Regions from separate parts of the Mus musculus genome. Here all the other regions are reported to be linked to region 1. The links are microRNA targets in miRTarBase. Many come from high-throughput screens and were not tested one by one. Region 1 holds a microRNA gene; each other region holds the end of a gene's coding sequence. Distances are from middle to middle.

Region 1 (4,300 bases):
CTGGGGAAGGCCAGGCACAGCAGGGAACATCGCCTCTCCCTCTCAGGCTGTCATTTTACTCCACACTAATTATTTCTGAAGGGTTCATTGTGACTGGAATGCACTCTTGAACAAGCACAGTTTGGAAGACTGGGAACCCTAAGACTAGGGTTCTCTGTAAGGTGCTCTAGTACTGATCGGTTGCTGGGAGGGTTAACAATCTTAACAGCCCTTAATCTACCAAGAGTTTAGCGACTCTAGACGATATACTCTCACCCAACTTTTAGCACCACCTCGCAGCGCCGCTTTCTCCACCCTCCAACCATCATGCGGCTTGTTCCGGTTTTTTTTTCCCCCCTTTGTTTTCAAAAGTAGCCGCAGAATAAATCGTTACCACCAAAGGAGCATCTTGAACGACTGAAGCTTGAAGCTTCCCAAATCAAAGGTCTGAGAGAAGGGTGTGAATAACCAAACCAGTTGAAGGGAGTGAAGGAGAGGCTGTTAGGGGCAGCATCAAGGGGCTCTAGATTTGCAGCTCCTGGACACTTGGCTTCTGACACCCACTCTAATCCTCCTGGACATGCAGCTGAGATTCCCAGAAGCACGGTGTGGCACCAACCCAGAACAGACTGAGTGCCTGCGCACTCCTGGGCTGGCGGGACCAGAGGCGAGTCCTTCTAGAAGAGCCCACAGTCTCAGGCAAGCACTAGCCCACGGGCGTCAGGGCACACAAGGAAGGGGTGGCGGGAATGTCGAGAGCTGCCCGGATTTCAAACTCTGCAAAGCCTATGCTGCTTTGGTTTCCGGGGTGGGGATAAAAAGTGACTCCCCTTACGACCTTCCCGCGACCCAACCTCCTCCGAGTGTGTCCGAGGCAGCTCGGGGCCAGGTCCTCATCCCACAGAGGGCTAGCCTGGGGTCTCCGCAGAGCGCTGCCACTCAGCCAATCGAGCATGGGCAAAGAGAGAAAGGCAAACCTAGGGACACTCACCAAGCGGTGGCCGCCCCGCCGGCTCGCGACGCGCCAGGCGCGCGGGGCTGCCCAGGTGGCGCCGCGAAGCGGGCTCGAGTTTGAAAGTCGCTCTCGGAAGCGGCAGAGGCCGCCGGCCGCTCCCGCCCACGGCTGGCCGCCCCGCGGTCCCAGCCTCTGCTCGCTGCGAGCACCAGACGCCGGGGGACCCCCGAAATGCGCACGGTTCCCCAGCACCGGGCAGGAAGTTGCGGCCGGAGTCCAGGCTGCGGCGGGAGGGAGGGAGGGAGAGAGAGAGGGAGAGGGAGGGAGCCAGGGAGGGGCGGACCAGGAATGTTTCCAGTGGGTGGAGACTGCGCTCGCGGCTGCGATCCAGCAATTGGCGGCTCTGGGGGGCCCGGGGGAACCTTCGCGGCGGTGCGAGCGAGCTGTGGCTCCCGCTGTAGACAGCGGCCGCCGTGGCTAATGATTAACGCGCGTGGCCCGCCGTGTGGGTCCCGCTGGCCGCCTCCCCTTGCCACCTGGAACTCTGGGATCCCAAGGCGCACGTGGTGGGGTTACTCTAGTGCCACCGCCCTGATATCACGCCGAGAGGGCAACGAAAGCCTCCAGACCAGGTTCCGACCAGAGAGGACTCGGAGCCCAGCCACCTAGACTTTCCCAGGAGAAGCGCAGGTCTAGGTGGCAAGGGCGTCCTGGTCCTACTGGAGCAGGTCACCACGACCGCTGAGTCAGAAAGGCACGTCTCGAATTCCTCGCCGAAACTAGGTTTCGGTGGCTCTTTACAGTTGTAAAATCTTACCTTCTGAGGAGAAAGAGATAAGAAGCGCATAACTTGGGGCGGGGCGGGGCGCGGCGCTCAGTGGGACTGTTAATGAGAAAAACTGATCGAGGAACCTGAATGTCAGTGGACCCCATTTTGAGTGCGATCTATCAACAAAAGGCATGTACCGGGAAATTAGGGGATGGGAAAATTGGGGGATGATTAGCACAAGCACATAGAATACAAACCAGTTAGATTTTGAGCAAGAACATAAATCTTTTGTGTGGTTTTTGTTTTTGAAGCAGGATTTCAATTATCTGAGACTGGCAGAGGGTAATCTTGAGAGTAATGGTTCTCCACCCTCTATCTCCGGAGTGCTGGGATTACTGGTGTGCACCACCACGCCCTAATTATTGTTTTTATTTTATTTTTTGATTTGAAACAGGCCCACACTTTGTAGCCCAAGCTAGCCCAGAACTCTTGAGTGATCCCCCAGAGTGCTAGAATTATAGGTGTGCGCTACTACACCTCACTAAGAATAAATCTTTCATTGGTAAAGATCTTAGGGGAGGTAGCATTAGATGCTGTCCCCAGTACGCACCATGAAGAGGGGTAGGAGATGGGAGCCCAGTGTGAGATCACAGAAGAAGTAGGACTCCTGCGTTAAACGATGGCACCAGGTTCTTGGAACAGGAATGGAGAATCGACCCCAGTAACTCAGCATTTAGACCGCCAAGTGTAGACAAGTGAAAATCCTAAATAGCTTATAAAATCCCCTCCTCCACCACTGCCCTCAAAAAAAAAAAAAAAAAAAGCTGCCCCAGGGAAAAGCAAGCACCTAGTGATTTACGGGGAGGGGCGGGGCAGAGAGAGAGGAAATGGCTTTCAGGTGACTTTGAAACGGGATCCCTGGGAAGAGTAAAGATTAAAGTAGTCCTTGCTCCTGACTGCGGGAGGGCCAGAAAGTAAGGCTCACGTTACTTAGTCCACAGGTTAGGCTTGAAGAGCGGCAGACTAGAGGACAGCACTGGTGAGAAACAAGATTACCCGGGAACGGGGGAGAGAGATAAAACTACGGGGTGGGATGGGAAAGGGAGAAGCCCCACTCCTTCCCACCTCGAACTTTCTGGGTTTCTGGTTTCTTCTCTAATCTGTTAAATCTTACCAGTCCTTTCCTACTAATCTTAAACTCCCAACTTCCAAAGACGTCCCCCAGCCCCAATCCAGAGATTTAAAACTTTTGAATGTATGACTGGCTCCTTAGCTAGAAAAGAAAAATAAAATGTTGATGATAGTAATGGTTAGGGAATGGTGCTACCAAGTGCACTGCACTTTATAATCACTAAGGCAGGAATACACTTACTCCCATTTTGCAGGAAGAATACTGAGGCTCTAAGGATGGAGCAGTCTGGCCAAGATCAATTGCATCAAGGGGCGTAGTCTGAGGGGGCGACACTGGAGTGCTTACTGTGTTAACCTTTGAGCATTTTACAAGAACAATTGCGGTTACAGGAGAAACTGAGGCTTGGTCATACTGCTAGTGGGTGGTAGAGCTGGGAGTTTCTACCCACAGGGAAAACTGCATTTAGCCAGCCAGCTCTTTCTCCACTTCCTTCTAGACACTTGTTAGTCCATTCTGAACTTGATTCTAAAGCCTCGAGTTGTTTCTAATTGCTTTAATTTATATGCCCATTTCCTGAAAAGATTGTAATCTTACTATGCAGAACTTGTAAGAAGCATTCAATAAGGCCATGCTGGAGCCAGATGAAACAAGCAAGATTTTATAAAAAATCAGTTTCCTACCTCCAAGCCTCCAAGAGTCAGTGTCAGGACCAGGGTCTCAAGCCGAGCCGCAGCCCCCTTCTCAGCGTTGAGCCTTTCTGCCTTCCCACCAGCTCTTGCTTCAGCGAGCGGCCTCGCCCTGCTATTAAATCATTTATTATTATAATAACACCTTGAGTCTCAGTAATGCCTTTAATCTGAGGTCTCAGGGTGTCTAACAAATACAAATTAATTCATCATCTCAGCCCCTCCACTTGGAAGGGAGAATGGAGGTGTTCTCCCTAGTTTATGGATGAGAAAACCAAACAACCAGAGTCAAGATGACTCACAGGGAACCAATGCAGTTTCTCATCCCTTGCCTCTGACCGCCTGCTACCAAGCCTCGCATGAAAGCTTCAAATCCCAGACGCCAAGGCCATTGAGTTTTCACAATTGTCATTTCTGCTGCTCCACTGTGAACATCAGGAAAGGGAGGGATGTAAACACAGGCAAGAGATCCCCTGGGGCTGTGATCCCGGGCTGTGAGGAGGGGCCATGGCTTGCTGCTGCTGACAGAACTTCATCCCCAAACATGGAAGAAATCCTTCTCAAAGGTGACCCTACTACACTCAGAAATCTGTGCTTTCAGGGTTGCAAGTTGCGTTTTAGCAGAGCCTAGCGTGGACAGGGCTCTGAGTTTGAAGCCCAGCACCACAGAAAACAAGAAAAAGTGTGTCACATACAACAAAAGGGGGGAAAAAGATGATAAACTTCACAGTATCAAACTTTTCTGTATTAGAAGAGTGAAGGTCTAGGGGTTGCAAGCC
Region 2 (4,300 bases), not on the chromosome of region 1:
CACATTCACACATACAATACAAACACATAAAAATAAAGCTTTAAGAAAAAAAAAATGGCCTTACCCTGAAATACAGCCCTTTCTCACCTATGTGGAGATGGTGAGCTTGCTGAAGGTGATCTGGGGAGGTGGCTGAGGGTAAAGTGCTTGCCACCCAACAATACAGGCCTGAGTTCAGCTGTGGTAGCCATGCTTAAGATAGGCACTTAGAGGCAAAGGCAGGAAGGTCACAGGAACTGTGGGACCTTCCTGGTCTACACAACCAGTCTGAGGCCTTGGGGTCTGCTTAGCAATGTCCCATCTCGATATCAAATACCAATCCTTAGTATTATACCTGTCCTATAGAATATCATTTTAGAAAACAATAAAGGACAATTCCTGTAAAGCACCAAAAGTGGGGTAAGCATCTCCCTGCTCTCAGCCGTGACTCCACAGTCGCCTGTGGCCCTCGCTGGCAGCAGTGCACTGGCTGTGCCTCCACACGGGCGACTTTGTTCTCACTCTGCTCTGCCCCCTTTCCGCTTGGTTCCAGGTCAAGTCTGGATGATTACTGTCCTCCGGAACAAGTTGACATGATTCAGGGAAAGGTCCTCGATGTGCTGCACTCACTCTACGGGACCCTGGACACTCACCTGGTGTACTCAGAAGAGTCCCCTCTGAGCTGAGACCGTGCTAGGCTGCTGTGCAGTTTGGCGCAGTGACAGACCCGGCTTTTGTTTCTGGGCTTCCAGAGTGCACTTTCTTGTTAACTCTCAGTTGGAATCAGAAATCTCCACGCAAGTATCAGTGACCAACCACATACAACACTTGGGGTAGACGCAGGGGTTCTTGTTTGGTTTTATTGTTTTCACATCAAATCCGTTACCCCGGTTGATGGAGACTGTCTGTTATCTTCCTTGCTTCCCATCGCTGCCTTTGATTCTGTAAGAGGGGTTTTTTTTTTTTCTCTTTCCCCAACAAGGGTTTGGATGATATGAGATTTATTTATTTATTCGCTGATGTTTACTTAGCACTTTTGAGAGCCAGACTCTGTTAAAGACAAGCTGCTCTGTCCTCGTGTGGGAGACCTGAGAAGCAAATAAGGGCCCACAGCAGTCTCAGGGAAAAGGGAGAGCCACGGCTGCGTCTGGAGAACTGTCGGCTCTCAGGGCACCCTTGACCATAAGTATAAAGTAACATTCGCAGATGGCATGTCAGAAGACCCTTGCCAGTCCATGACGGTGCTTGCAGAAAGTCTGCCGCGCTAAGCGTGTTGGAATTGTGCCCACGCGGTTGCTGGATCTTCTCCAGACTTGTTTGTATGCAAGGGGTCTGGTTGAATACACCTAAGCAAAATTTTGTTGTTGTTGTAGGTTTTGTTTGGGTTGTTTGTTTCTTTTTGGTTGGTTGGTTGGTTTGGTTTGGTTTGGGGTTTTTGTTTGTTTTTTGGTTTTTTTTTGAGACAGGGTTTCTCTGTGTAGCCCTGGCTGTCCTGGAACTCACTCTGTAGACCAGGCTGGCCTCGAACTCAGAAATCTGCCTGCCTCTGCCTCCCAAATGCTGGGATTAAAGATGTACGCCACCATGCCCGGCCGTTTGTTTTTGATGGGTTGGTTTTGATTTTCTGAGATGACGGGGTTTCTCTATGTATCCCTGATAGCCCTGGAACTCGGTCTGTAGCCCAGTCTGACCTCAAACTCAAAAGATCCGCCTGCCTCTGCCTCCCAAGTGCTGGGATTACAGGCGTGCACCACCACTGCCCAGCTGCTTACAGTGGAAACGCCTTTTGGGAGTTTTGCCTTGGTGGTCATTATAGTCCTCAGTTGGCATTAAGCATTTAAGCACTAGGTGTCATTTTCTTGGCAGTCAGTCAATCAGTCGAGTGGTTAGAAAGTTGCTAAGCAGATAAGGGCACTTGCTGCTCTTGCAGAAGGCTGGAGTTCAGTTCCTAGTACCCATATGGCAGCCCACAACCTCACAACTCCAGTGTTCTCTTGTGGCCTCCAAAACTACACACGCATGCGTGTACATACCCACATGTAAACATATAAACATAAAGTTTTTATTGGAAAGACCTGTCACTGCATAGAGAAGAGAATGTTTTCTGCGCCGTGCATTGAAGATGATGCTTCATATATTTAATGAGCCAAGTTTGCCCTTAGCCAGAGAGTGGCTGCAGCCACTACTATTTACCCTGAGTTCCCACCCCACCAGGCGTGAATGGGACCGTCTTTATCCTAGAAGCTAATTTCTGCTTGCCTGTTCCCTGCACTTTTGTTCAGTAATTACTTTATAACTGCTTAATTTCTTTAAAGGGTAAGATGATATGTAAAGAAAAAATAAATATCCATCACTCCTGGCGAGCACAGTAGCTTTTGTCTTCACAGCCCGTTTTCAACCCTCGCCTGCACGTGGGCCTGGAGAGGGGAGTAGCCAGGATCAGAGTGACCTACCTCGAAGCGGCCAGTTCTCCAGGATGCCTTACCCTTGCCCTGCGGTGCGTACTCTTCCTACCGTGCTCATGTTTTCCTCTGGCGAATTCTCTTGGCACTGAGGAAATTGACAAAAATCCAATACTATGAAAGCTTGTTTGTATTGTGGAAATAAAACCAACTGATAGCCTTCCATCCTGATAATCAAAAGATTTGTGTTCTTCCAAACTCAGAACTGTAAAATTGTTTTTAAGCTCTGAAAATGTCTTGTTAAAGAGTTCTATAACTAGACATTTCTAGGAATAAATTAGTCTATGTGCAAAATGAAATTAAATCCTGTATTTGGAAGCTTTAAGGGTTTCAGGTCAAACTATAGAACTAATTCTTCTTCGTGTCAGTGCATGGACTTAATTGAGTTTTAGCTGTTTTGGTTTTGGTTTTTTATTGTTGATGGGTTACTGTAACTGCAGTGGACTCTGATGTGAGTCATCATTTTTTAAACCTGGGTTGGATAAAACTTTTTAAATTACTAAATAAAATAAGCATCTACTAACATTTTTAATTTTTTATTATTTTAGTGTGTTGCATGTATATGTGTGTACCACATGGCTTTAGTGTCCATGGAAGCCAGAGAAGGTGTCCAATCCCCTGGACTTGGAGCCAGTACTCTTAACTGCTCTGCCATCTTTTCAACTCCCTAAGATTTAACTTTTATTTAAAAATTTTTACATACAATGTATTTTGTATAATTCCTCCCAGATCCCCCCTTCCTACTCCATGGTCTATCTCTCAAAAACAAAAAAGGAAAGAGGAAAAAAAAAGGTCAAAAAAGGTACCAAAAGTCACACACAAAAAACACAAGAGTATTTTGTGTAGGCCAACTGCCCCTTTCATGGTACTTGCCACTAGAATTGTCGACATGCCCAGTAGCGCTCCTCTGGAGAAAACTCATTAAACTCATTGCCCCTTTCCCAGAAAATACCAATTATAGATAGCTTTTTAGTAGCAGGTAGGGCTTTCTTCCTACTTTCTCTTCTCAGTGCTGGGATTTTGTCTGCTTTTAACCTTTGCGGGTCTTGTGCGTGCTGCCACAGTCTCTGTAGTTCGCATGCCCGTCGGTCTTCTCTCTTTGGTGTCATCCACCACTCTCACCATCTTCCCACCTCCTCTTCCACGTAGATCCGTAAGTCTTGAGGGCAGGGGGTAATGGAGACGTTCCACTGAGGGCTGTGCGCCGAGGTCTCCAGCTCTGCCCATTGCTCAGTTATGGGTTTCTGAATTAATTACGACAAAGCAGCATCTCTGATGAGGGGTGGACAATACTCTGATCTATGCGTATAGCAGTGTGTCGTTAGGAGTCATTTCATTGCTCTGTACCATTGGCAAGATTCTAGTAGGTTTTCCCCTTAGCCCTATGACCAATTTAGTCCCAGGTATCTTGCCACTTGAGCAGTGCCAAGCATATCTTCCATCTTAACAAAGTCTTCAATCCAATCGTAACGCTTGCACCACTGTTGAAACCGTGTTTGTAAGTTGTAGGGTTTGTAGCCAGGTGATGCCAGTGACCACTTTACTCCTCCAACATGCAAAGTACCTTCCAGCACTGTGGACAGTAGTCAGCAGGGATGAGACTTCTGGCTGGGCACCAGCGCAGGCCAGTTCTGCTTCTGCCTTCCGTGTGTTCAGGCACTGTAGCTCAGCTGCCTGGCATGAAAGCATAAGCAGGTTTGTCCAGGCTTATCCAGGCCGGGTGGGTTTGCAGGAACACGCTTGTCTTGAATGCCGGGGGTGGGGGGGGCGATGGTGGGGGGGTTGTTTTTGTGGAGGAAGAAGCCTTCTCTGAGAGTTTTCAGTGTTACCGCTTCTTTATTAGGGGGTTAATAAGGGCT
Region 3 (4,300 bases), 24 Mb from region 1:
GTTGTTGTTTGTTTTTGAGGGGTGTTTTTTAGTTTGTTGTTATTTGAGACTCACTATGTAGCTCTGACTATCCTGGAATTACTATGTAGACCAGGTTGGCCTCAAACTCACAAAGATTCATCTGCCTCTGTCTCCTGAGTGTTGGCTTTCTTTATTTTTTCAAATGTGGGTTCTAGAAATTGAACTCAATTTCCATGCTTACACAGAAAGCACTTTCCCAATTAAGCCTTCATCTTAGACCCTTTTCATTGGACATCTTAGAAACGTAAAATAAACGTGTATCAGCCACTTATGTTTGTCATTTTCACTATGATTTGGGGCTAGGGATTGACCCCCGGGCTAACCATGAGATATTCCCTTGCCCCCCCCCCTTGTTTTACAGCATTGTGATGTGACTTGCTTGTTGCTCTAATTGAATCCAGTTTTGCTAATCTGAGTTGGAAGAATTATCATTGAGAAGTGTCTTCAAACAACAGTCCCCAGAGGGTTACATCACATCAGAGACAGCAGATAATAAAGTGATTCTTCATTGGGGTGCTTAGAATTTAAGATACCCCTGGAATGGCTTGTCTGCACAGTAGTGACTTAGTTGCCACTACTAGTGTCTGTGGAGAGACTGGACTGAGGGACCCAGACAAGGTTCTTTGCAGTGAGGAGTTTGGGTATTGTGACCTCTCTGGAATACTCCAGCACAGACAGCGAATATCTCATAGAGTGGTATTCCTAAGATAGCTGCTAACTGAGAGAGAATGGAATTGAGATCTTCCCATTCCCACCAGAGCCCTGGACACTGAGACCAGATGAATTCCAGGAATGGAGACTCCATCCCTAGATGCATAAAGCAGTTGGTTCAGCTTCTGGCTTTCTCTAGAACACAAGCTGGTGGGAAGCAGCAGATGGAGATGTGCTCTGTGCTGAGGCTCTCTCCTACTCTCTTCGGGCCAACCCACAGTCCTGTGTAAACAGGAAGATGAGTCCTTGTATTACTAAGCAACACTGGGGAGTAAAAAAGGAATTTTAATGGCTTCTGTCACCTTCAGTCCAAACCAGATGGACGTTTGCTCCCAGTCCTTCTCTTAGGAGAGAAAGCAGGATTAATCCTTAATAATATTCTTGCTTAGTCTGTTTGGAAGAAAGAGCTATTCTTCCATAACACTCCAAAACTCCAGGAGCCTGATCCATAGAGGGATTAAGTGGTCAAAATCAAATTTATGCTTCAATAGGATGTGGGCGATCCTTAGTGATAAACACGGAGTCTGATGCTGGTGAGAGGATGCCCCGGCAGACAGAGGTTGTCAACAAGCAAGGTGGGCGGCTGCAAGCAAAACCAGTTGGTTCTGGGGAAATGCCAGAGATGAGTGAAACAGGCTCTTCTTCTGGTCTGATGGGGGCTCACCCTTGCGGGGGGGGGGGGGGAGGGGTCAGGGGGGGTCGGGGTTGGGGAGATACTCAATATGCAGAGTCCCATGTGGTCAAAGACAGAGGGAGTCTTGTTCGCTAAACCACAGGGCTGGGTGTTGTCCTTAAAAGTCCCAGGGTGAATCTACAACACCACCTGCACAGATGCATCCAGGGTAGCTTTGCAACATGCTGCATGGATGTATGGGCTTTGCCATGCTGCACGGATTCATGGGCTTTGCCATGAGGCAGAAGAGAAAACTCTACTGTCCTTGTGGCTTGGGCTTAACCACTTGTTAGGCACTCAAATGCAACCCCCATCTTGCCCTTGGATCTTTCTATTTGGGGTCTTTCAAGGACACACCTGATCTTCCTGGTGTGGGTGGAGTCTCTGCCTATAAGGACTGCACACACTCTGCTATGATTGGCTACTTTGTTTTATTTGCTGACTGAAGTCACTACATAAACCCACCTCACAGTCCAACACAGGGATACTTGGCATAAGAGAGAAAACAATACAAAAATACAGCACTCCTTAGTAAGGGGAGCTGGGCTTAGCTTGCTCCAGTCCAAGCCAGTGAGAATCCAGAATTTCAGGTCAAACAGGGGAAATACTGTGGGATGAGGAGGCACAGAACACTTAGCTATCACCATTGGCCTGTAAGGACCGAGGCTGGGGAAGGTGTAGGTCTTTCTGGCATGCAGCCATCTCTGCCAACTCTCCTATACCAAAATGCAGCTTAAGCCAAACCTGTGGTCACGAGACATGATTGTGTGTGTGTGTGTGTGTGTGTGTGTGTGTGGTTAGTTCATTGCACTTAGGAACTCTGGGAAACTGTCACTGTCACACTCCTCTCAAAAGCTGCTGGATGCTCTATGGTGCATGGGGAGAAGGGTAGGAATTACTGACAACAGATACATGATCCTAGTTAGTATCAATGTCTTGGCATACAGTTGCCATGGACACCCTGCCATTTTTTTTATATTCTCCCTCTTTCTTCTCCCTTAGGCTCTCAGGTCTGACACTTAGACTAGACGGACACAAAAAGCTAATTAGGGCTGGGCAGTGGTGGCGCACGCCTTTAATCCTAACACTTGGGAGGCAGAGGCAGGCGGATTTCTGAGTTCGAAGCCAGCCTGGTCTACAGAGTGAGTTCCAAGACAGCCAGGGCTACACAGAGAAACCCTGTGTGCCAGGAACTTGGCTAAGGACGCAGTTTTAGGCCTAAGTCTTCTTATTAAGCTTTAGTACGATGTTTTGAGGGCCCCTGACATCTCTCCGGCATCCCTGGGGTTTCTTTGCCATCAGCCCTTGGGGGTGGGGCCCTGTTCCATAAGTTCTGTAAAGTGAGACGTGCCTGATGCTGGGGTTTCTTCCCTGACTGCCTCTCTGCTGTTATCCCTAGCCACCAACCCCGCCCCTGTTCTTCACCTTAACCAGTCCTCTGGCCTAGACTAGTTTAGAGGCAAGCTCAAATACTGATGGTGGCTATATAGCTTCCTGTGTCACACAAGACCATAGCACACTTGGGCTGGTATCGTCTGTGACAACAGGGGCACTGGAAGGCTTGGCAGGTGACCACGCAGGGTCCTACCCTCCTCTCCGCACCCCAGGCCTGCTGCTCTTTGCAAATCTCCTGGAAGTGACGATGCCGACTCCCTCCCATCTGCAGCCCAGGCGGCCACCAAGAACATGGGAGGAGACAGGGCTCATTCACACAGTCAGCAGTGCCCAGGCTCAGGACACGGAGCAGGTTTCCAGGGGCCAGAGGGACCTGGCTGTGGCCCAAACCATGGTTCCTTCCTGAGGAGAGAGGCACCCGTACATGGTAAAGTGGGAGACAGCCACCATGCAAGCTCCCGACCACAAGGCCTGTTGGTGAAAGCTCAGGGCCTAACTTAGCCTCATACACGTGACTCAAGCTAGGCCAACCCCACTGTGGAGGGCCCTCCCACTCCCAGTGAGCTAGGGGTCTGGAAGGCTGAGTGGAGCTTGGTTAACAATTCAGGTTCCTCGCCCTGGGCCCCACTTTTCCCAGAGGCCTCAGGGGCACCCAGAGGGTAGGCCTCCCTGGCCCTGCTTGTCCTAGAGCAGGTAAGGACAGCTAGGCAGGCTCCTCGGAGGCGGGCTAGGTCCCTGTGAGTGGTCTCACTGACAAAGCAGTACAGCACCGGGTCAGCTACACAGTTGAAGCTGGTGAGGAGGAGGGAGAAGTGATAGACGTTGAAGATGCTCTTGGCAAACTCACAGTTTCTCTCCCAGAGGCTGCGTACCAGCAGCAGCACGTGGTAGGGTAGAAAGCAAGCCAGGAAGATGACCACGGTGCTGAGCACCAGCCGCTGAATCTGGTCCTTGCGGCTCTTCTGTGTGCCGTGGCTGCGGCGCACAGCCCGCAGGATGCCCTGGTAGGAGGCCAGCAGCAGGCAGATGGGGAAGAGAAAGCCCACCAGGAAGCGGTAGTAGTTGATGCTACGCTGCCAGGCCTGGATAGGGTAATGCTCAAAGCAGACTCGGTGCTGGTCCTCGTCCTCAATGACCTCCTTGTGATTGAGGAAGTAGATGCTGGTCAGCAGCTCCTTGGCCCAGATGAGCACACTGACACCCACGGCTGCCTTCAGGGTGCGGAACTGGTGGAAGCGGAAGGGGTGGGCCACAGCCAGGTAGCGGTCGATGGAGATGCAGCAGAGGAAGCCCACGCTGATGTAAATGTTCTCATAGAGGAGGATGCCACACACCTGGCAGGATAGGTCACCATGGGACCAGTCGTCGTGCTGAAGCACGTACTGCAGCCAGAAGGGAAGTGAACAGATATAGAACAGGTCTGCAATGGTCAGGTTACACAGGTACACTCCCAGCTCATTCCGGGCCTTGATCTGCAAGTACCCGAAGTAGAGGGACAGG
Region 4 (4,300 bases), not on the chromosome of region 1:
CAGTAAGGACTGGGACAACGAGTACTGCAGCAATGAGTGTGTGGTGAAGCACTGCAGGTGAGTTTAACAGTCCTTATAAATCAAGAGGTAGTGAAGTGAAACTGTTGGGGAGCATGGTACCCGTACCCGTGTGGACTGAGCATGACCTTATTAGGCAGAGCCACTTGACATGTGTGGGTGGGTAGGTATCTGATTAGAGATGCTCCTAGATGTTCAATTGCTTAGAGATGAGGATGTAGCTCAACTGACAACTGCTTGCCTGGCATGGGTAAGGTCCTGATTTCAATTACCAGTGTCAAAGAATTTGGTGAGGGATAGGTAAGGGGGAAAGTAGCAGAGTAAATGCTAAGTGTAGAGAAGGTGAGTAGTAAGTGAAAACTTTGCCCTTCTACCAAAATATCCCAGGGAATTACCTATATCCGTGAAAGGGCATATGTGTCCTCTACGAGGTGGATTGGCACAGTCTACCACATCTGACTTTTAGGCTACTTGATGATGTTATACTTTGGAGATGTAGGGAAATATTTGGGTATGGTTTTGCTATAATAAGTTTGTATGTATCTTTCTCTCTTAGGGATGTATTCTTGGCCTGGGTGGCCTCTAGAAATCCAAACTCTGTGGTGTTTGTGAAGTAGCCTTCGTCTTCTCCAAGCCTTGAAGATTCATCTGCTGAACACGAGTCCAAAAGCCTGTTTTTTTGTTTTGTTTTGTTGGTTTTCCAGACAGGGTTTCTCTATGTAGCCCTGGCTGTCCTGGAACTCATTTTGTAGACCAGGCTGGCCTCGAACTCAGAAATCCACCTGCTCTGCCTCCCAAGTGCTGGGATTAAAGGCGTGCGCCACCACCGCCCGGCCAAAAGCCTGTTTTTTAAACACAAACTGGGCTTCTGTAGTGCCTGACCTTTACCCATAGTCCTTCATGCCTCCATCTCCCTTTTCTTTCTTCAGCAGAGGCCAGACTATGTAGCAGGGCCAGCAAATTCACTGTAATTTAGAATTGCTTTTTACTCTCAACTGTAAGCAAAATTACCAGCTTACTAGCAAGCACAGGGAAGAGTGATGGGAGCAAATCATAGGGGTCATTAGAAGAAACATACCAGTAAAACGGTCAGACAACTTGCCTAGAATGTCATTGGGCGAGTGCTTTGCTTTGTTCTCGGCAGAAAAAGCTCTGGGAGAAGAGAGACTTAGGGTTTCAGCTCAGTGGTAAAGTGCACTGGGTTTAAATCCCAAGTGAAGGAGGAATGAAAATACTGATTTAAAATAAAATGTGTGATAGCCCTTTAAAAGGGAACTATTATTGATATACACAGTGCTATTAGGAGGAAGGTTTGAAGGCCTGGGGTTATGGCTTAGCACTATAAAGCTCTGAGTTCAGACCCCAGGCTGGAAGATCAGGAGTTCAAGGTCATCCTTGGCCCACTAGTGAGTTTGAGAACAGTCTAAGATGCATGAGGTAAAGGTTTTACAGAACATGGTGGCCCGTGCCTTTAATCCTAATACTTTGGAAGTAGACAGGAAGATTTTTGATCTGAACTTAAATCAGACTTTGTCTCAAAAAATAGACCGGGTGTGGTGGCACTCCCCTTTAATCCTACAACTTAGGAGGCAAGAGGCAGGTTGGATCTCTGAGCTTGAAGTTAGCCAGGATTACCTAGTGAGATCCTATCTTAAGGTCCCCCTCCCTGCTCCTGACAAAAACACACAAATTCTGTTTGTCTCAGTCTTAGCACATTGGGCTAGAGGGGAAACGACATCATCCAAAACGATCTTTTTCTGTACAAGTATTTCTTTACCTGACTTGGTTACCAGTTTTGCATGTAAGAAGCAGAACTCTATACCCCTAATAAGAGGTTTTACAAAGTAAAGAATCTGTGTTTGATGAAACATCTTTTAAATGTGCATTCATTTACATAATGCATAGGCCAATTTTTTATATTCTAAGCTCTAATTTTAATTGAAGGTACCTTGTTTTTCTTAGAAATTAGCTACAGACTAATAAACCAGCAAACGTACATAGAATAAGCAAAAGTTTAGAGTACCATATGCATGGTAAAATTCAAATTAATCCTGTTTATAGCATATTAATTGCTAAGCACTGTGAACCTGTGTAGTCTTTTCTAACACGCTAGGTAGCTAACATTCTTCTTTTACTTATAATGAATCACGCTAAATAAGAGTAGCACAAGGACACACACTAAGTGGAAAGCCATAATTTCACTTCAGAAATTCCAATTATAATACAAACTTTTATTTATTTATATACAGGGTAGGGGACACTATTGCGTAAACAGTCCTCTTAAGGTGTGGCCTGTAGCCCATGGCTCTGAACGCTTAGCTTTGTAAGGAAGTGCGTCTATAAATTCTTAGGTTTAGAGATGATGCCGTCCGGATACCTTTGCTTAAACCTGGCAACCACATCTGGGTCTAGTAGGTGTATCCCATCCAGTTGGTTTCCAAGAGTAATCCTAAAACAAGGGGGAAAGAAGAGGCAAACCAAAAATCCTGTAAGGGCTTAATACTTAAAATGTTCTACTTTCTGGTGATACCTATCTCAGGCTGTCCTGGAACTAACTCTCCATGTAGACCAGGCTAACCTTGAACTCAGAGATCTACTTGCCTCTGCCTCCCAAGTGCTGAGGCTAAAGGTGTGCTCTACTATGCCCAGTCCACGTCAATTTTTTTGGTTTGGTTTGGTTTGGTTTTTGAGACAGGGTTTCTTTGTATAGCCCCGGCTGACCTGGAACTCACTTTGTAGACCAGGCTGGCTTCAGAAATCCACCTGCCTATGCCTCCTGAGTGCTGGGATTAAAGGCATGCGCCACCACGCCCGGCCTACATCAACTTTTAAAAAGATCAGAGCAAATAATATGGCAGTGTCAATACAAAAACTGATTGGATTTTAATTTCTTTGGTGGTCCTAAGAGTTGAACCTAGGCACCTTACATATACACTCTTAAACTCTTAACACTACCAGCCCCCCTCCCCTTTTGAGACCTCTAAATAAGCATTGGCAGGCCTTAAGCTTGCAATCCTCCTGCTTCAGTCTCATGCCCCAAGATCCAGCCGGATCTGTCTATCTAAGGATTAGTAATTGATGGTAGCCAGGCCTACTTCATTCAGTCACTGCTAGTGAATAGTCCTTGGATAATTAAAATGCTCACCATTGGCATCAAACATTAAAACTGACAGATTGAATAAATACTTAGTAGCCACTAGGGGGCAGATTTAATATAGCCCACAGAATAGCTGACGATCCTTGGGCAGTTAGAGCTTTAAGAACAGCCCTTTGGGTTCTAATGAATGTTGTAGATTCTGGTAAAGCTTAAGCCATCTAGACTACCAGAATGTATACAACTCAGTGACATCTGTCTTTGTCCATAAAGGGTTTTTTGGGGGAGGGACGGGCAGGAGGTAGGGAGGCAAGAGCCTGTTCTCTTAATGTTACCAGTTGGGCTGCACATTGTGTGGTCGTCCAAATAACTCAATCTTGCGGGTGCCAGGGGACAGTCTCTCAATCATGCCATATATTTCATCTGGTTTATGACTGGTGGAACGAACCTAGAAAATAAAAACTCAAGCTACTTTAAGTTATTCAAGATTGCTTAATAGATAGAGAAATGGCTCACAGTTATGAGCACTGGTTGTTTTTCCAGAGGACCTGGCTTCAATTCCCAAGACCTACAGCTCATGACACCCTCAAAAAGACATACATGCAGGCAAAATACTGATACACATGAAATAAAAATAAATTTTTAAAAAGTTACTCAAGATTGCAATTCTAGTCTGGTCTGTGTTACCCAAATGAGGAAAAAAAAAAAAAAAAAATGGAGACTGACAGGAGTATTGAGTGAAAGTCTGAAAGCTTTAGATGCACAGGGGACACATACCTCAGCTACAATCACATCGCAGTCCAGGCCCTGGTTGAATCCTTGAGGATTTCCCTTAACACCAACCTGCTCATCACAGAGAACACTGTTTACACAACCACAGCCTTCAGTCTCCTAAGCAGCTCCCCCTCTTCCTCCTGTTCCTCACCAAGCAGTGTTCCTTCCCGTGGTTTAACCAGTGACCCGTCCGGCCCGTCCTAATGATGCGCTGCAGCTGATTAGTCTTCACCCAGATGATTTCATCCACCCGTTCATAACTGGAGCATAGGAGAGAACCTGAGCTTTAACCAGCTTCACAGCTGAGGCACAGCACAAGACACAAGGGCAGATTGGCAGGAACACTGAGAGAAGGGACTTGTCAAGTTACATTTCTCCTAAAAAAGGCAACATAATTTCTACTTACCCCCAGAG
Region 5 (4,300 bases), not on the chromosome of region 1:
ACAAGCCTCTTCAAAGACACACCTTCAACCACTAAAAGACATCTCAGCAGCCCACATTTCTTAAAGCTTTACTCTTGGGACTCCTCTATTCTCGCCTATTTCTCATAACTCAACTCAGAGATCAAACCACTTTAACGTGAAAAGGCACCTTCAGGACTTTGGCTGTCAGGAACGTAACACAGAAACAACCCACATGGTCACATCACTGAAGAAGCTTACCGAAGGGAAACAGACCACTTACATTGTTATTTCACAGTATTAGACACAACCAAAAATCCCGTTTCAACATCTTAACCTTGAGACTAGGTAAGGGGTCACCAGCTCCTTGCTGTCTGCCACGTGGATGTCTCTGGTAGGCAGGAAGGTGCAGCTTCATTTCTCACAGGGCCCTAATGGTACATGGTACGTGAGCTGGCCTACGTGCTGCCTACACTTTAAAAAGATGTACATTCAATGAATCTAGAATACGTGGAAGGCCTGTGTTCGAAGCTGAATTGTCTTGGCAGCTTTCAGACTCTCAGACTTGATGGCCCAGTTTTGTAGATAATATTTTGGCTCAACACTTTGGGTAACCTGAACTTAATTCAAACCTATAGACTGCATCTGGCCAAAAACCCCAACCAAAAAAACCCTACAGCTCCTCCTGGGTTCCTACAATAGATATTGAGACTTGAAGATAGAAAGATCCAGACCGGGCCAAAATGGTAACAGATTAAAAACAATGGAGAGCTTTGCTTTAGCAGTCACAGGAGACAATGTACCTGCTGGAGAATACGATTTTTGTCTCAACCTTACAAATTCAACTTTGCTAAAGATGGAGGACTCTGGGAGATTACAAAGGGATCAGCCTGTGAAGTTTACCGAGGCCTTCAGGTATGTTATGAGGGGAATGAGGTCAAACTGTCATCAGCATAAGCTAGTGGACTTTATTATGAATTTACCTAACATCAACAGCATAGGTAGAGCATAGGTAGGCTCTAGAGAATGTCCCTTTAGTTGGGCTGTCACCACCAATCAGTTAAGAACTCAATAGTCCTCTGATTCCACTAATGTCCTAGACAGACAACAGTCTGGAGAAGTATTCTGCTAACCAGCTGCTCCTCCCTTGAGCCATGCAAGTCCATCCATCAGATGACCACTCCATCCCATCAATTCCTCCAGCACGGTCACAGAGCCTCTCTCTACTCAACTGCACTTAACATTTTTGGCCTACATACCCTCTTTTGTATGTACTAAGAACCATAGTGATGCCATTACCATAATATTCCAATATCTTTAGCTGGTCTGATTTCTCTGTCTTCTCTCGACACTTTCTGTCTGTGCTTCCAAATGCTGTATCTAAGATTGTTCTATGCCAACTCTATAAGTGTGCCAGTATGTGTATCTGTGTGGGAATAGTTCCATGGTTTTCAAGGGAAATACACAGAACATATAACCAGGCAGAGTATTTGGGGTTCACATTGGTCAAGGGTTTGTAGAGCGACTTCTGGAAAAAGTAGCTCTGAGGACTGTGGGATCATAACTACTATTGGGCCACTGATTGTGACCAACTGTGTCACCCATTACACAGAGAGGCAGGCAAGGTGGCAGTTACCCCTCTCTTCAAGTGGACTCACATGTACTATTCTGTAAGTAAAAGGAAGAGAGAGAGATGCTGGAGGCCCAGAGTTTCTCATACAATGTGGAATGTTCTCCAAAGGAGGGGCCTGAGTGTTAGACATTTTGCTAGATGGCAGAAAACAAAACACCAGACACAGAAGCATCTAATAGCACTAACCAGATGTCCACATATCTGTAGGAAGAGACCTCCTAGGTCTCTTATAGACAGTGGATCTCTTTCCTGATGGATGTCCTGAACATTACAGCAAGTTGGGGGAAGAGGAACCGCCACTAAGAAACAGAATGTCATGCTGAGCAAGTGTGGTCTTGCTTTCAGCAGACTTAGCAGAATCTAAGTTACATCCATATTAAACCCATTCCTAGGAACATATTTCTTTGATCCTTTGTAGGAAAGAAAGAGCCAGTCTGTAACGCTGTCATGCAAGTAGAACTGTTTCCAGTCATCTGTCTGCTGTGGGTGAGGGGTCACCACCAGGCAGGGAATACTGCTGGGCAGAGGGGGAAGAGCCCAGAGATGGGCTGAGTCCAGTTTGAGGGAGCACAAGACAGGTTCATCCCATTCTGGATCCTGGGAAGAGACTTTTCAGATACACTGTCTGCTCTCTGCTAAGGAAAGGACATAGCCGTTCTGCTATGAATTCTTACAAATTATTTAATTAAGCTATATTATAGGGAAGGATATATACGTGCTATGTACTTTTATGTTATCCTCCTTGTGTACATATACATATGTGATTATATAATGTTGTACCACCTCTACACAGACATGGCTGGTTCTAAGGATGAAACAGTGGTTTAAGAACCTGGATGAGAACTTTATTATATAGTACTTTATACTTTTGGCTTTAAACCACAAGTGTTATTATCTATGGAAAGATAAATTAATAACCAGGCTGGGAATGTAGTTCAGTTGGTAGAGTATTTGGTTAGCATGCATGAAGCCTTGGGTTCAATCCCCTGTACCACATAAAATCCAATGTGGTACAAGTCTGTAATCCCAGCACTTAGAAGGTGGAGGCGGCAGGATCACAAGTTCAAGGTCATCCTCAGCCACATAACAAGTTCAAGGACAAGACACATGAGACCCTGTCTCAAAACAACAATAAAGAAGAACAAAAAATCAAAAACCAAATTTCAAAATTATCAATAAAATATTTTTAAAAATCTGGACATGGTGGCACATGCCTTTAATGCCAGCATTTGGGAGGCAGAGACAGCCTGTGTGTTTAAGGCCAGCCTGGTCTACATAGCAAATTTCTAGGCCAGCCATGTCTATATAGTCTCAGAAAAAAAAAGGGAAAACAAAACAACAAAACAGAAAATAAAACACAAAACTTTCATTTTATCATACTCTAAGGTATAGGTGGTATTGGGTAGTTATACCACCTTAAAAAAAAAAAAGCTGTGTTTGTTTGTCACAACCTGTAATCTCAGCTACTTCGGAGGCTGCGGCAGGAAGATCCCACGTTGTTCAAGGCCTGTCTATGCTATAGGGGGAGTTCAAGGCCAGCTTGAGCAACTTTATGAGATCTTATTTCAAAATGAAGAAAGCTGGGGATATAGCCCAGTGGTACAATGCTTGCCTTAGCATCTGCAAGGCTCAATCTCTCTCTCTCACACACAAACACACACACACACACACACACACACACACACACACACTCCTCTCTCTCTTCTCCCTCCCTTACATACTCTCCCTTCTCTCTCTCTCTCTCTCTCTCATACACACACACACACACACACACACACACACACACACACACACACACAGTCTTATGAGTTCTTTTCAACCGTAATTCTTACACTTAAATACGCATTCCAAACTAAGCCCAGCTGTAGCTGGGCAGTCTCTGCAGCCTCCTGACCCCTCAGATCTAACTGTCACCTAGGATGCGGTTCCCAGGTGGAGAAAGTTGGTCCTCCAGACCTTGGGTGAACTTAGCGGCAAAGAGAGAAGAGGTGAGGTCATCTCCCATCTCCAGAGCGATGTCATATGCTGTCTGGCCTCTTGTGTTCTTCTTTTGGGCGTTTGCATTGCATCTGCGAAGGAAGTGGAGACACAATCACTCAGGCGTATGACCCTCAGAACTTGACCCTTCCTTGCCTAGAAGCCAATGTACCCCATAAAAGCCCCTAAAAAGACACTATGGCTTCAACTCTCAGAGTGACTCTACTTGTTGGGGTATACTATGTAAAAATGTGTCTCTGTCTTTCCTCACCTGCCTAAGACATTCTCTGATTGGCTTTAATAAAAATCTGATGGCCAATTAGCTGGGCAGAAAGTGGAAGGTGGGACTTCCTGGGAGGGAGAAAGGAACTCTAGGACAAAGAAGGAAAAAAAAAGCCCTTTCATGTCACCAGGGAACATGGGAGGAGACAGACATGATCATAGGCCTGGAAGGTATAGCTAGCCACGTGGCTGGATGGGGTTAGGTGGTCAGGTGAAGTTAGATGAACTGGTTGAGAGTCTGCCCAGCCAAGGCCTAACTAAGGTTCTGAAAATTTTTTGTTTGTTTGTTTGTTTTGTTTTTTGAAACAGGGTTTCTCTGTGCAGTCCTGGCTGTCCTGGAACTCACTCTGTAGACCAGGCTGGCCTTGAACTCAGAAATCCGCCTCTCTCTACGTCCCAAGTACTGGAATTAAAGGTGTGTGCCACCACCACCTGGCTAAGGTTCTGAAA
Region 6 (4,300 bases), not on the chromosome of region 1:
CAGGCGGATTTCTGAGTTCGAGGCCAGCCTGGTCTACAAAGTGAGCTCCAGGACAGCCAGGGCTATACAGAGAAACCCTGTCTCGAAAAAAAAAAAAAAAAAAAAAAAAAAAGAATCGACAAGTGGGACCTCATAAAATTGCAAAGCTTCTGTAAGGCAAAGGACACTGACAAAAGGACAAAACAATACCAACAGATTGGGAAAAGATCTTTACCAATCCTACATCCGATAGAGGGCTAATATCCAATATATACAAAGAACTCAAGAAGTTAGACTCCAGAGAACCAAATAACCCTATTAAAAAATGGGGTAGAGAGCTAAACAAAGAATTTTCAACTGAGGAATATCAAATGGCCAAGAAGCACCTAAAGAAATGTTCAACATCCTTAGTCATTGGTGAATTACAAATCAAAACCACCCTGAGATTCCATTTCACACCAGTCAGAATGGCTAAAATTAAAAACTCTGTTGACAGCAGATGTTGGTGAGGATGTGGAGAAAGAGGAACACTCCTCCATTGCTGGTGGGAATACAAGCTCGTACAACCACTCTGGAAATCAGTTTGGCCGGTCCTCAGAAAATTGGACATAGTATTACCTGAGGACCCAGCTATGCTACTCCTGGGCATATACCCAGAAGATGCTCCAACTGGTAAGAAGGACACATGCTCCACTATGTTCATAGCAGCCTTATTTCTAATAGCCAGAAGCTGGAAAGAACCCAGATGCCCCTCAACAGAGGAATGGATACAGAAAACGTGGTGCATTTCCACAACAGAGTACTGCACAGCTATTAAAAACGATGAATTCATGAAATTCTTAGGCAAATGGATGGATCTGGAGGATATCATCCTGAGTGAGGTAACCCAATCACAAAAGAACACACACAATATGTACTCACTGATAAGTGGATACTAGCCCCAAAGCTCCAAATAACCAGGATACAATTCACAGACCACATGAAGCTCAATAAGAAGGACGAGCAAAGTGTGGGTGCTTCTGTCCTTCTTAGAAGGAGAACAAAATACTCACTGGAGCAAATATGGAGATAAAGTGTAGAGCAGAGACTGAATGAAAGGCCACCCATAGATTGTCCCACCTCGGAATTCATGCCGTACAGCGTTACCAAACCAGACACTGTTGTGGGTGCCAAGAAGTACATGCTGAAAGGAGCCTGATATGGCTGTCTCTTGAGAGGCCCTGCCAGAGCCTTACAAATACAGAGGTGGATGTTAGCAGCCAACCACTGGACTGAGCTCGGGGTCCCTAATAGAGGAGTTAGAGAAGGGACTGAAGGCATTGAAGGGGTTTGCAACCCCAATAGGAAGAATAATATCAACTAACCAGACTCCCCCCAACCCCCCACTGCCCCAGAACTCCCAGGGACTATGCCATCAACCAAGAAGTACACATAGCTCAAGCTGCATATGTTGCAGAGGATGGCTTTGTCATGGATCAATGGAAGGAGAGGTCTTTGGTCCTATGATGGCTTGATAAATAACCCAGTGTAGGGGAATCAAGGGCAGGGAAGTGGGAGTGGGTGGGTGGGTGAACACCCTCATAGAAGCAGGGGAGGGGGGATGGGATAGGGGGCTTCTGGGAGGGGGGTAAATCAGGAAAGGGGATAACATTTGAAATGTAAATAAAGAAAATATCCAATAGTAAAAAAAGAAAAAAAAGGATGTATTTATTATTTTATATATGAATACACTGTAGCTATCTTCAGACACACCAGAAGGGGGCATCAGATCCTATTACAGATGGTTGTGAGCCACCATGTGGTTGCTGGGAATTGAACTCAGGACCTCTGGAAGAGTGGTCAGTGTTCTTAACCACTGAGCCATCTCTCCAGCCCGTGGTGTTTCTTTTTTTCAAAAAGGTTTGACTTCTCTGTGTACAACTGTCTTTGCTTACATGTCTTTGCTTACATGGCCTTGTGCACCCCTGGAGTCTGAGGCAACCAGAAGCACTCTGTGGGTGCTGGGGACAGAGCTCAGATCCCAGACAAGAGCAACCTGTGCTCTACCCGCTGAGCCAGCTCTTCAGGCCTGTGTGCATGGCATTCCTTAAGAACATGTGCCTGCACAGGAAACCCCGGTCACACCAAAAGCAGGCGGTGTGCCGTGAAAAGGGTCATGGAGGCTGTCTTGAAGTGTGCAGGTAGAACTGCTCGCCCAGAAGGCCAGGCTCAGGTGAAGCCCCCTCCTTACCCGCTGCTGCAACCGATAGCTGCTTTGGGCTTCACCCTGAAGACCTGTGTCACAGTTGTTGAGAGATGAAAGAGTGCCAACTAACAACTTCCCGCTAGCATCTGGGCCTTCCTTGGCCACGTCCTCGGAGGTCTTGTTTCTTCACAGGCTGTCCTGGCAGAAGGAGCTTTTCCGCCGTGAACAGGGCTGGGCCGTGCTGGGTAGAATTATTAAAGCGTGGCACCAGATTTGAGTTGTGTGGCCATTTTTCTGGGTATCAGCGTGATTGCAGACCGCGATGACCATGCCCTCTACAGAGGAGCTGGAGTCCTTCAAGTACAGGAACCTGCAACATTTAGCCAAAAGGCTGGGTCTCCGGGCTCCCCTGTGGGCAGACAAGCTGTTCAGAGCCTTGAAAGCACACCCGAACCCAGAAACCGGGCAAGAAAATAAAACTCAGGATGAAAATCAATCTGCATTCTCTCTCTGTTGAGGAGACTGAGATACAAGGTAGTAGTGAGGAGCAAGCTGTCTACCCCAGTCAAAAGCTCTTTTCTATCAAAACTTTCAGACGTAATTTGTGTAGTGTCTCTTGTGTGCTATATCTGAGAATATGTTATCACCTAAAAGTTAAAAAAAACAAAACAAAACAAAAAAACCAAGATTGATTACAAAGGCGCAGTGCAGCGAGCAACAAGCTCGATTGGGGCAGGGCTATGACTCCTCTCTCTTCCTTTTTGGCCTGCAACTGAGTCTGCCCTGGAGCCACCAGCACTGCTGGATGTCCTGCCTACCGAAGATGCTCATGGAGCATTCATCTAAGGTCACTTATAGGCGCCTGCAGGCAGCACTGTGCCGTCGAAGCTGTTCCCTCACCCCAGGACCCAACACTTTGTTTTTTAAGTACCTGGAGCTGGGAAGGGACCTGAATAGTGCCGGACAGAGGACAGGGTTCGGCCTGGTTTTATAAGTACCACGGGAAGGCTACAGAGAGCAGCACAGGGCCTTCACACAAACACTGACTGGACACGGTCTTCTTTCACCATCAGGTTCACTAGCTTCTCTCTTACTGAATGGTTCATGCCTGCTTTTTGTCCCTGGCATTTTCTAGTTCTGCAAGTACTAGAGTACAACGGGCACACCCAGGCCACACTGAGATCTTAAACAACGCCAGCTCCTCCAGTTAGTGTCCCCTTTCTCCATGGTTTCAGTGACTTCTGGTCAGAAGCCACGGCTGTGGTGAGGTATGGGTTAGGAAGCGCGGCTGTAGACAATGGTACCTGTGACACACTGAGGGGCTACGGCAGGATTAAAAATCGGAATGTTCTAAATGTCACCTAGAGGACAAACACCGAGACAGAACCACCAGATGCCTGACATCAGTGAGCCTCATCTGTGGCACAAACAGCACCCAGGGCTTCCAGCTGGCAGCAGAAGCTGGCAGCCACTTCAGATAAGTCTGTCTCCTCCACACGGCCCCCAGCCTGGGCCGAGCACCTGTCAGCAGAGAAGAGCTGGCTCTGTCCTCAGGGCTGGGCTCTGAAGATATTTTTCATTTCCCAGGAAGCAGGTCCCGTCTTCCAAGGTCCCAGGAGGGCTAGGCACGCTGCATGGCCCCCCGCAGGGAGCTTTGGAGAGCACAGCTTGGCCGCTCTCGGTGCCCACACTCTCCTCCTCTTCGTTGGAATAGTTGCCCGAGTCCTGGCTGGTCTGTGAGCTGTACTTCCTGAGGTCCTCCTCAGGCGCGTGCTTTACTTCTACAGCGACCGTGTCTGTATTCTCAATGATGAAGCATCTTTCCGTGTGCTCCTCAGCCGTCAGAAGTACAAGGTTTTTTGAAGGCGGCTCAGAGAAAAACTGATGGTAAAAGGGAAGGAAAACAGGTTGTTTAAAATAAACCCTGCATCTCCAGCTCTAGCTTCTGTTTTATGTCCAGCCTTTCGGAGTGTGCATCACGACATATGAGCTATCCCGGGAATGACTGTGAGGCTCAGAAGGCACAGCAGGCCACCGGGCTCAAGGCCATTTTTGGGTAAACCTGTGAAGAATCCTCACACAGGCACTGTGCTGCCAAGGGTGGGTTAGGGGTGCTGGGATCACAGACATTTTGAA
Region 7 (4,300 bases), not on the chromosome of region 1:
GGAAGAGTTAAGGGGGAGGGTGTGTGTGTGAGTGTGTGTGACTGAACCCAGATCTTCATACCACCGAACCACCTCTCTAGATGAAAGAGAAAAGGCTTATTTATTTTAATTTTTAAAACATTTTAATTATGTATAGGTTTGTGTCTGATTGTGGATGTGCCTCTGAAGGCCAGAAGAGGGTATTGGTTGGATTGCCTAGATGCTAGAGTTACAGGCATTGTGAGTTAGCTGTCTAACAGAGGCGATCAAGAGCAATATACCCTCTTAACCAACTGTCCATGGCTCCAGCCCCAACAGACCAGTTTTGTTTTAGTTTTTATTGTTTTAAATTTGTATTAGCATTTTGATTGCTTCTGTTTATGTGTACTCCATGTGTGCTTGATGCCTGCAGAGGCCAGAAGAGGGCGCCAGATTCTTTGGAACTAGAGTTACAGGTGGTTGTTAGATGCCACATACTGCTGAAAAGCCAGTCTGGTCCTCTGGAAGAGCAGCCACGGTTCTTAACTGCTGAGTCATCTCTCTAGCCCCAAAGACAAAGGGCCGCATGCCTTTAATCCTTGAAGAAGCAGGGTGATCTCTGTGAGTGCAGAGCCAGTCCTATCTATACAAAGAGTTCTAGGGTAGCCCGAAGTACATAGTGACCCTGTCTGTGAGAGAGACAGAACAGAGGAGAGAGAGAGAGAGAGAGAGAGAGAGAGAGAGAGAGAGAGAGAGAGAGAGAGAGAGAGAGAGAGAGAGAGAGAGAGAGAGAGAGAGATTTGACCAGGACTCGTGTGTCGATTTGAAGGAAGCGAACTAACCTGTAAAGTGGGCTTACAGGGGAAAGGAGTGTGGCTAGATGTTTGGGAGGGGCCAGAAGAGGCGGAGGTTTTTTTTGGATGGGCTTTCTTGCATTGTACCGTAGCCAGAAAAAGAGAAGGCACGGTCAAGCAGAACTGAGCAGAACTCTAGTTCTGCTTTGATAAACGGGTTGTAGGGAAAGGGGAAATGCTAGAAAGAGGTAGGAGGTTACTGCCTAGTCTAGAACCGGGGTGGGGTGGGGGTGGGGGTGATCCAGAGCTCCGAAGTTAAGGAAAGACAAATAAATACCTTTTGGTATTTGTCCTCCAGCAAGAAGCGGAGCTCTCTCTTTCGGAAGATCACAAAGCAGTCGAACCTGCTGCACACCAGTCGATCGCTGTCCTCTTTGAACCGGTCCTTGTCGTCCAGCGACAGTCTTCCGGGCTCGCCCACGCACGGACTACCCGCACGCTCGCCCACACATAGCTATCGCTCTACACCTGACTCCGCCTACCTAGGTATGTTCTGCGCCTGCGCGGGGTAGGGGACTAGGACACTGAGGTGCTCAGAATGTTTGCACCTTCTCTGGCCTGCAGGCGCCTCGTCACAGAGTAGCTCGCCAGCTTCCAGCACGCCTAATTCCCCCGCCTCATCCGCCTCGCACCACATCAGGCCCAGCACCTTGCACGGGCTGTCACCGAAACTACACCGCCAGTACCGCTCAGCGCGCTGTAAATCGGCTGGCAACATCCCGCTGTCACCTCTAGCGCACACACCATCCCCGACGCAGGCGTCGCCGCCGCCGCTGCCAGGCCACACGGTGGGCAGCTCACATACCACGCAGAGCTTCCCTGCCAAACTACACTCATCGCCACCTGTCGTGCGCCCGCGCCCCAAAAGTGCAGAGCCACCACGCTCGCCGTTGCTCAAGCGCGTGCAGTCAGCGGAGAAACTAGGGGCTTCGCTGGGAGCAGACAAGAAGGGCGCACTGCGCAAACACAGCCTGGAAGTGGGACACCCTGATTTCCGAAAGGACTTCCATGGTGAGCTGGCCCTGCATAGCCTCGCTGAGTCTGATGGTGAGACGCCTCCTATTGAGGGTCCTGGGGCGACCCGGCAGGTCGCCGTGCGACGCCTGGGTCGCCAGGAATCACCCCTAAGCTTGGGCGCGGACCCGTTGCTACCCGATGGTGTCCAGAGACCTATGGCGTCAAGCAAGGAGGATTCCGCGGGAGGTACAGAGGCTTGCACCCCACCTCGCGCGACAACCCCTGGGAGCCGGACCCTGGAGCGTGACTCGGGTTGCACAAGGCACCAGAGCGTGCAGACTGAGGATGGCCCAGGTGGGGTGGCCAGGGCCCTGGCCAAGGCAGCGCTAAGTCCAGTGCAGGAACATGAGACAGGCCGGCGCAGTAGCTCTGGTGAGGCAGGCACACCCCCGGTGCCCATTGTTGTAGAGCCTGCTCGGCCAGGGGTCAAGACCCAGGCACCCCAGCCTCTGGGCACAGACTCCAAGGGATTGAAGGAACCTGTAGCCCAGATGCCTCTGATGCCTGATGCCCCAAGGGGCAGGGAGCGCTGGGTGCTAGAGGAGGTGGAAGAGCGGACCACGCTAAGCGGACTTCGCTCTAAGCCCGCCTCCCCCAAACTCTCTCCTGACCCCCAGACTCCAACCCTAGTCCCAACAAAGAATGTACCCCGCAGTGCAGCTCCTTCAGTCCCACCTGCTTCCCTCATGGTCCCAGGCACCAAGCCTGAAGCAGGGTTGAACTCCCGGTGTCCTGCTGAAGCTGTGACTCCTGCAGGCCTCACCAAAACTGGGGCACCTAGCCCTGCATCTCTAGGTCCATAGCGGAGCAGGCTTTCGGTGCTGTGCTGTACAGATGCCTGTATACATATGTACACATATAAATAAAGTGCCCATGCTGCCTGAGATTCTTGGGGTTCACACCTCCTCTCTGGACAGGAATGGCCCTTGGCTTCTCAGAAAGTAAGAAGGTGGCTTTCATTAGGGCCTTCCTATGTCCCATCCACTGCCAATTCCACACGTGGTAACAGCTTTTGTAAGGAAAAGGTGTCCCACCCCTGGTCTGTGTCTTGGGCTCCATCTTAAGAAAAAGGTTACCAGTGCCATGCACAGAGTTGGTTGTATTAACAACCTCTTAGAGACATGCTGTGATGCCCATTTTGCAACAGACAGCTAGAGGTTAAGGCACTGTTAAGGTCTCCAGTTAGGAAGGGACTGAACTGGTATTCAGATTCATAGCTGGGACAGGGAGTGTGGCTCAGCAGCACTGTACTTGTGTCCCATGTGGTAAGCCCTGGGTTTAACCCACCAACAGACACACAAACAAATTCAAGTCAAAACTAGTCTCTGAGTCTTTTCTTTCTTTCTTTCTTTTCTCTTTTTCTTGTTTTTCTTTTTTTTTCTTCTTCTTCTTTTCTTTGAGACAAGGGTTCTCTGTGTTGCCCTGGCTCTCCTGGAACTCTCTGTAGACCAGGCTGGCCTGGAACTCAAGAGATCCACCTGAGCCGGGCAGTGGTGGCGCATGCCTTTAATCCCAGCACTTGGGAGAAAGAGACAGAGGCAGAGGCAAGCAGATTTCTGAGTTCGAGGCCAGCCTGGTCTACAGAGTGAGTTCCAGGACAGCCAAGGCTACACAGAGAAACCCTGTCTCGAAAAACCAGAGAGAGAGAGAGAATCGATCCACCTGCCTCTGCCTCCCAAGTGCTGGGGTAAAGGCTAGTCCGGCCCCCACCTGGTTAGACTGCGGAGTCTTAGTCCTTTGCTCCGATGGGCTTCAGTCAGCTCCCCTCTATACAGGGTTTCCAGTCTTTCACCAGGGACTGGAAGGCCTTCCAAAAGGAAGGCAGTTGGGTGCATACTGTGCCGCCACCTCGGTGTGTCTCTGCTTTGTTCCTATTCATGTCACCCACACAGGCCCAGGGCCCTTGAGGGGCCACACACCATTTGGAGTGGTCCTCTGTGGCACTGAAAGTTAGTCTAGATGGGCCAGGGAATCCTGTCTGTGTCACATCCAGAACCTGATAGGCTCCAGAGCAGTTGGAGGGCAGGATGCCTGGAGAATTTTGCCAGAACTGGACCTGTAGGTTGGTGCCAAGGGCTTCTGCCAACCATCCGGAGTACAGGTCTGCAGGGGAAGGAAGGATGAGGTGAGGGCCACTGGTACATTCCTCGGTATGGCTTCCTGCTCGGCTCAAATGTCTACTTTTGGAATGACGTGAACCTAAGCAGCCCCTATTAACAGGTCAGGTCCCTCTTCAGGTCACACCTGCAGCCCTAACACTCAGAAGCTGGAACAAGAGGCTCTCAGATGGAGTCTAGCCTGGAATGTACAGAGAGGTCTTACACAAACACATAGGCTGGGCATGGAGACTCGAGCCTTTAAAGTCTGCGCTGAGACAGTAGAGGCAGATGGCTCTCTGAGAGTTCCAGACCAGCCAGGGATACACAGTGAGGGCCTGCCTCCCCACACCCCTAAAGGGAATCCTTACCAAA

Evidence for each region. Region 1 holds the annotated microRNA mmu-miR-5135 (AGGUCUAGGUGGCAAGGGCGUCCU, at 1,623-1,646, shown strand). A microRNA usually pairs through its seed, bases 2 to 8, with sites in the 3' UTR of a target mRNA and lowers its output. Matches are read on the target gene's strand: a 7mer-m8 pairs with bases 2 to 8, a 7mer-A1 pairs with bases 2 to 7 and ends in A, and an 8mer does both.
Region 2: miRTarBase lists 6030458C11Rik as a target of mmu-miR-5135. Seed matches in the 3' UTR shown: 7mer-A1 at 1,487-1,493.
Region 3: the mRNA of Gpr68 is a reported target of mmu-miR-5135. Seed matches in the 3' UTR shown: 7mer-A1 at 2,537-2,543.
Region 4: the mRNA of Tox4 is a reported target of mmu-miR-5135. Seed matches in the 3' UTR shown: 7mer-A1 at 768-774, 7mer-A1 at 2,583-2,589 and 7mer-A1 at 2,755-2,761.
Region 5: miRTarBase lists Dzank1 as a target of mmu-miR-5135. Seed matches in the 3' UTR shown: 7mer-A1 at 2,859-2,865.
Region 6: the mRNA of Ifnar1 is a reported target of mmu-miR-5135. Seed matches in the 3' UTR shown: 7mer-A1 at 30-36.
Region 7: the mRNA of Dnase2a is a reported target of mmu-miR-5135. Seed matches in the 3' UTR shown: 7mer-A1 at 3,404-3,410.

What each region holds. Positions count from the first base shown.
Region 1 is chr12:76,530,489-76,534,788 of GRCm38, reverse strand. Mir5135 (microRNA 5135) reads left to right here and starts at 1,577; the gene lies at 1,577-1,655. It overlaps Plekhg3 (pleckstrin homology domain containing, family G (with RhoGef domain) member 3), which reads right to left and starts at 1,229. Exons shown (of 19, transcript NM_153804.4): 1 at 971-1,229.
Region 2 is chr15:12,807,077-12,811,376 of GRCm38, reverse strand. 6030458C11Rik (RIKEN cDNA 6030458C11 gene) reads left to right here. Exons shown (of 9, transcript NM_029998.3): 9 at 533-3,200. The coding sequence ends at 665. Among named protein-coding and RNA genes, the nearest start is that of Gm41274, 11 kb to the right of the region's middle.
Region 3 is chr12:100,874,865-100,879,164 of GRCm38, forward strand. It overlaps Gpr68 (G protein-coupled receptor 68), which reads right to left. Exons shown (of 3, transcript NM_001177674.2): 3 at 1,818-4,300. The coding sequence ends at 3,322. Among named protein-coding and RNA genes, the nearest start is that of Gm36572, 17 kb to the right of the region's middle.
Region 4 is chr14:52,292,627-52,296,926 of GRCm38, forward strand. It overlaps Tox4 (TOX high mobility group box family member 4), which reads left to right. Exons shown (of 10, transcript NM_023434.3): 9 at 1-57; 10 at 575-2,883. The coding sequence ends at 635. Mettl3 (methyltransferase like 3) reads right to left here. Exons shown (of 11, transcript NM_019721.2): 7 at 4,293-4,300; 8 at 4,038-4,146; 9 at 3,890-3,955; 10 at 3,448-3,560; 11 at 2,215-2,467. The coding sequence ends at 2,356. Among named protein-coding and RNA genes, the nearest start is that of Mettl3, 10 kb to the right of the region's middle.
Region 5 is chr2:144,471,430-144,475,729 of GRCm38, forward strand. It overlaps Dzank1 (double zinc ribbon and ankyrin repeat domains 1), which reads right to left. Exons shown (of 21, transcript NM_172859.3): 21 at 1-3,660. The coding sequence ends at 3,495. Among named protein-coding and RNA genes, the nearest start is that of Gm46768, 53 kb to the left of the region's middle.
Region 6 is chr16:91,504,800-91,509,099 of GRCm38, reverse strand. It overlaps Ifnar1 (interferon (alpha and beta) receptor 1), which reads right to left. Exons shown (of 11, transcript NM_010508.2): 11 at 1-4,045. The coding sequence ends at 3,689. Among named protein-coding and RNA genes, the nearest start is that of Mir6367, 21 kb to the left of the region's middle.
Region 7 is chr8:84,910,318-84,914,617 of GRCm38, reverse strand. It overlaps Dnase2a (deoxyribonuclease II alpha), which reads right to left. Exons shown (of 6, transcript NM_010062.4): 6 at 2,915-3,932. The coding sequence ends at 3,586. It overlaps Mast1 (microtubule associated serine/threonine kinase 1), which reads left to right. Exons shown (of 26, transcript NM_019945.2): 25 at 1,111-1,298; 26 at 1,377-2,765. The coding sequence ends at 2,632. It overlaps Gm38426 (predicted gene, 38426), which reads right to left and starts at 1,283. Exons shown (of 3, transcript NR_103491.1): 1 at 1,090-1,283.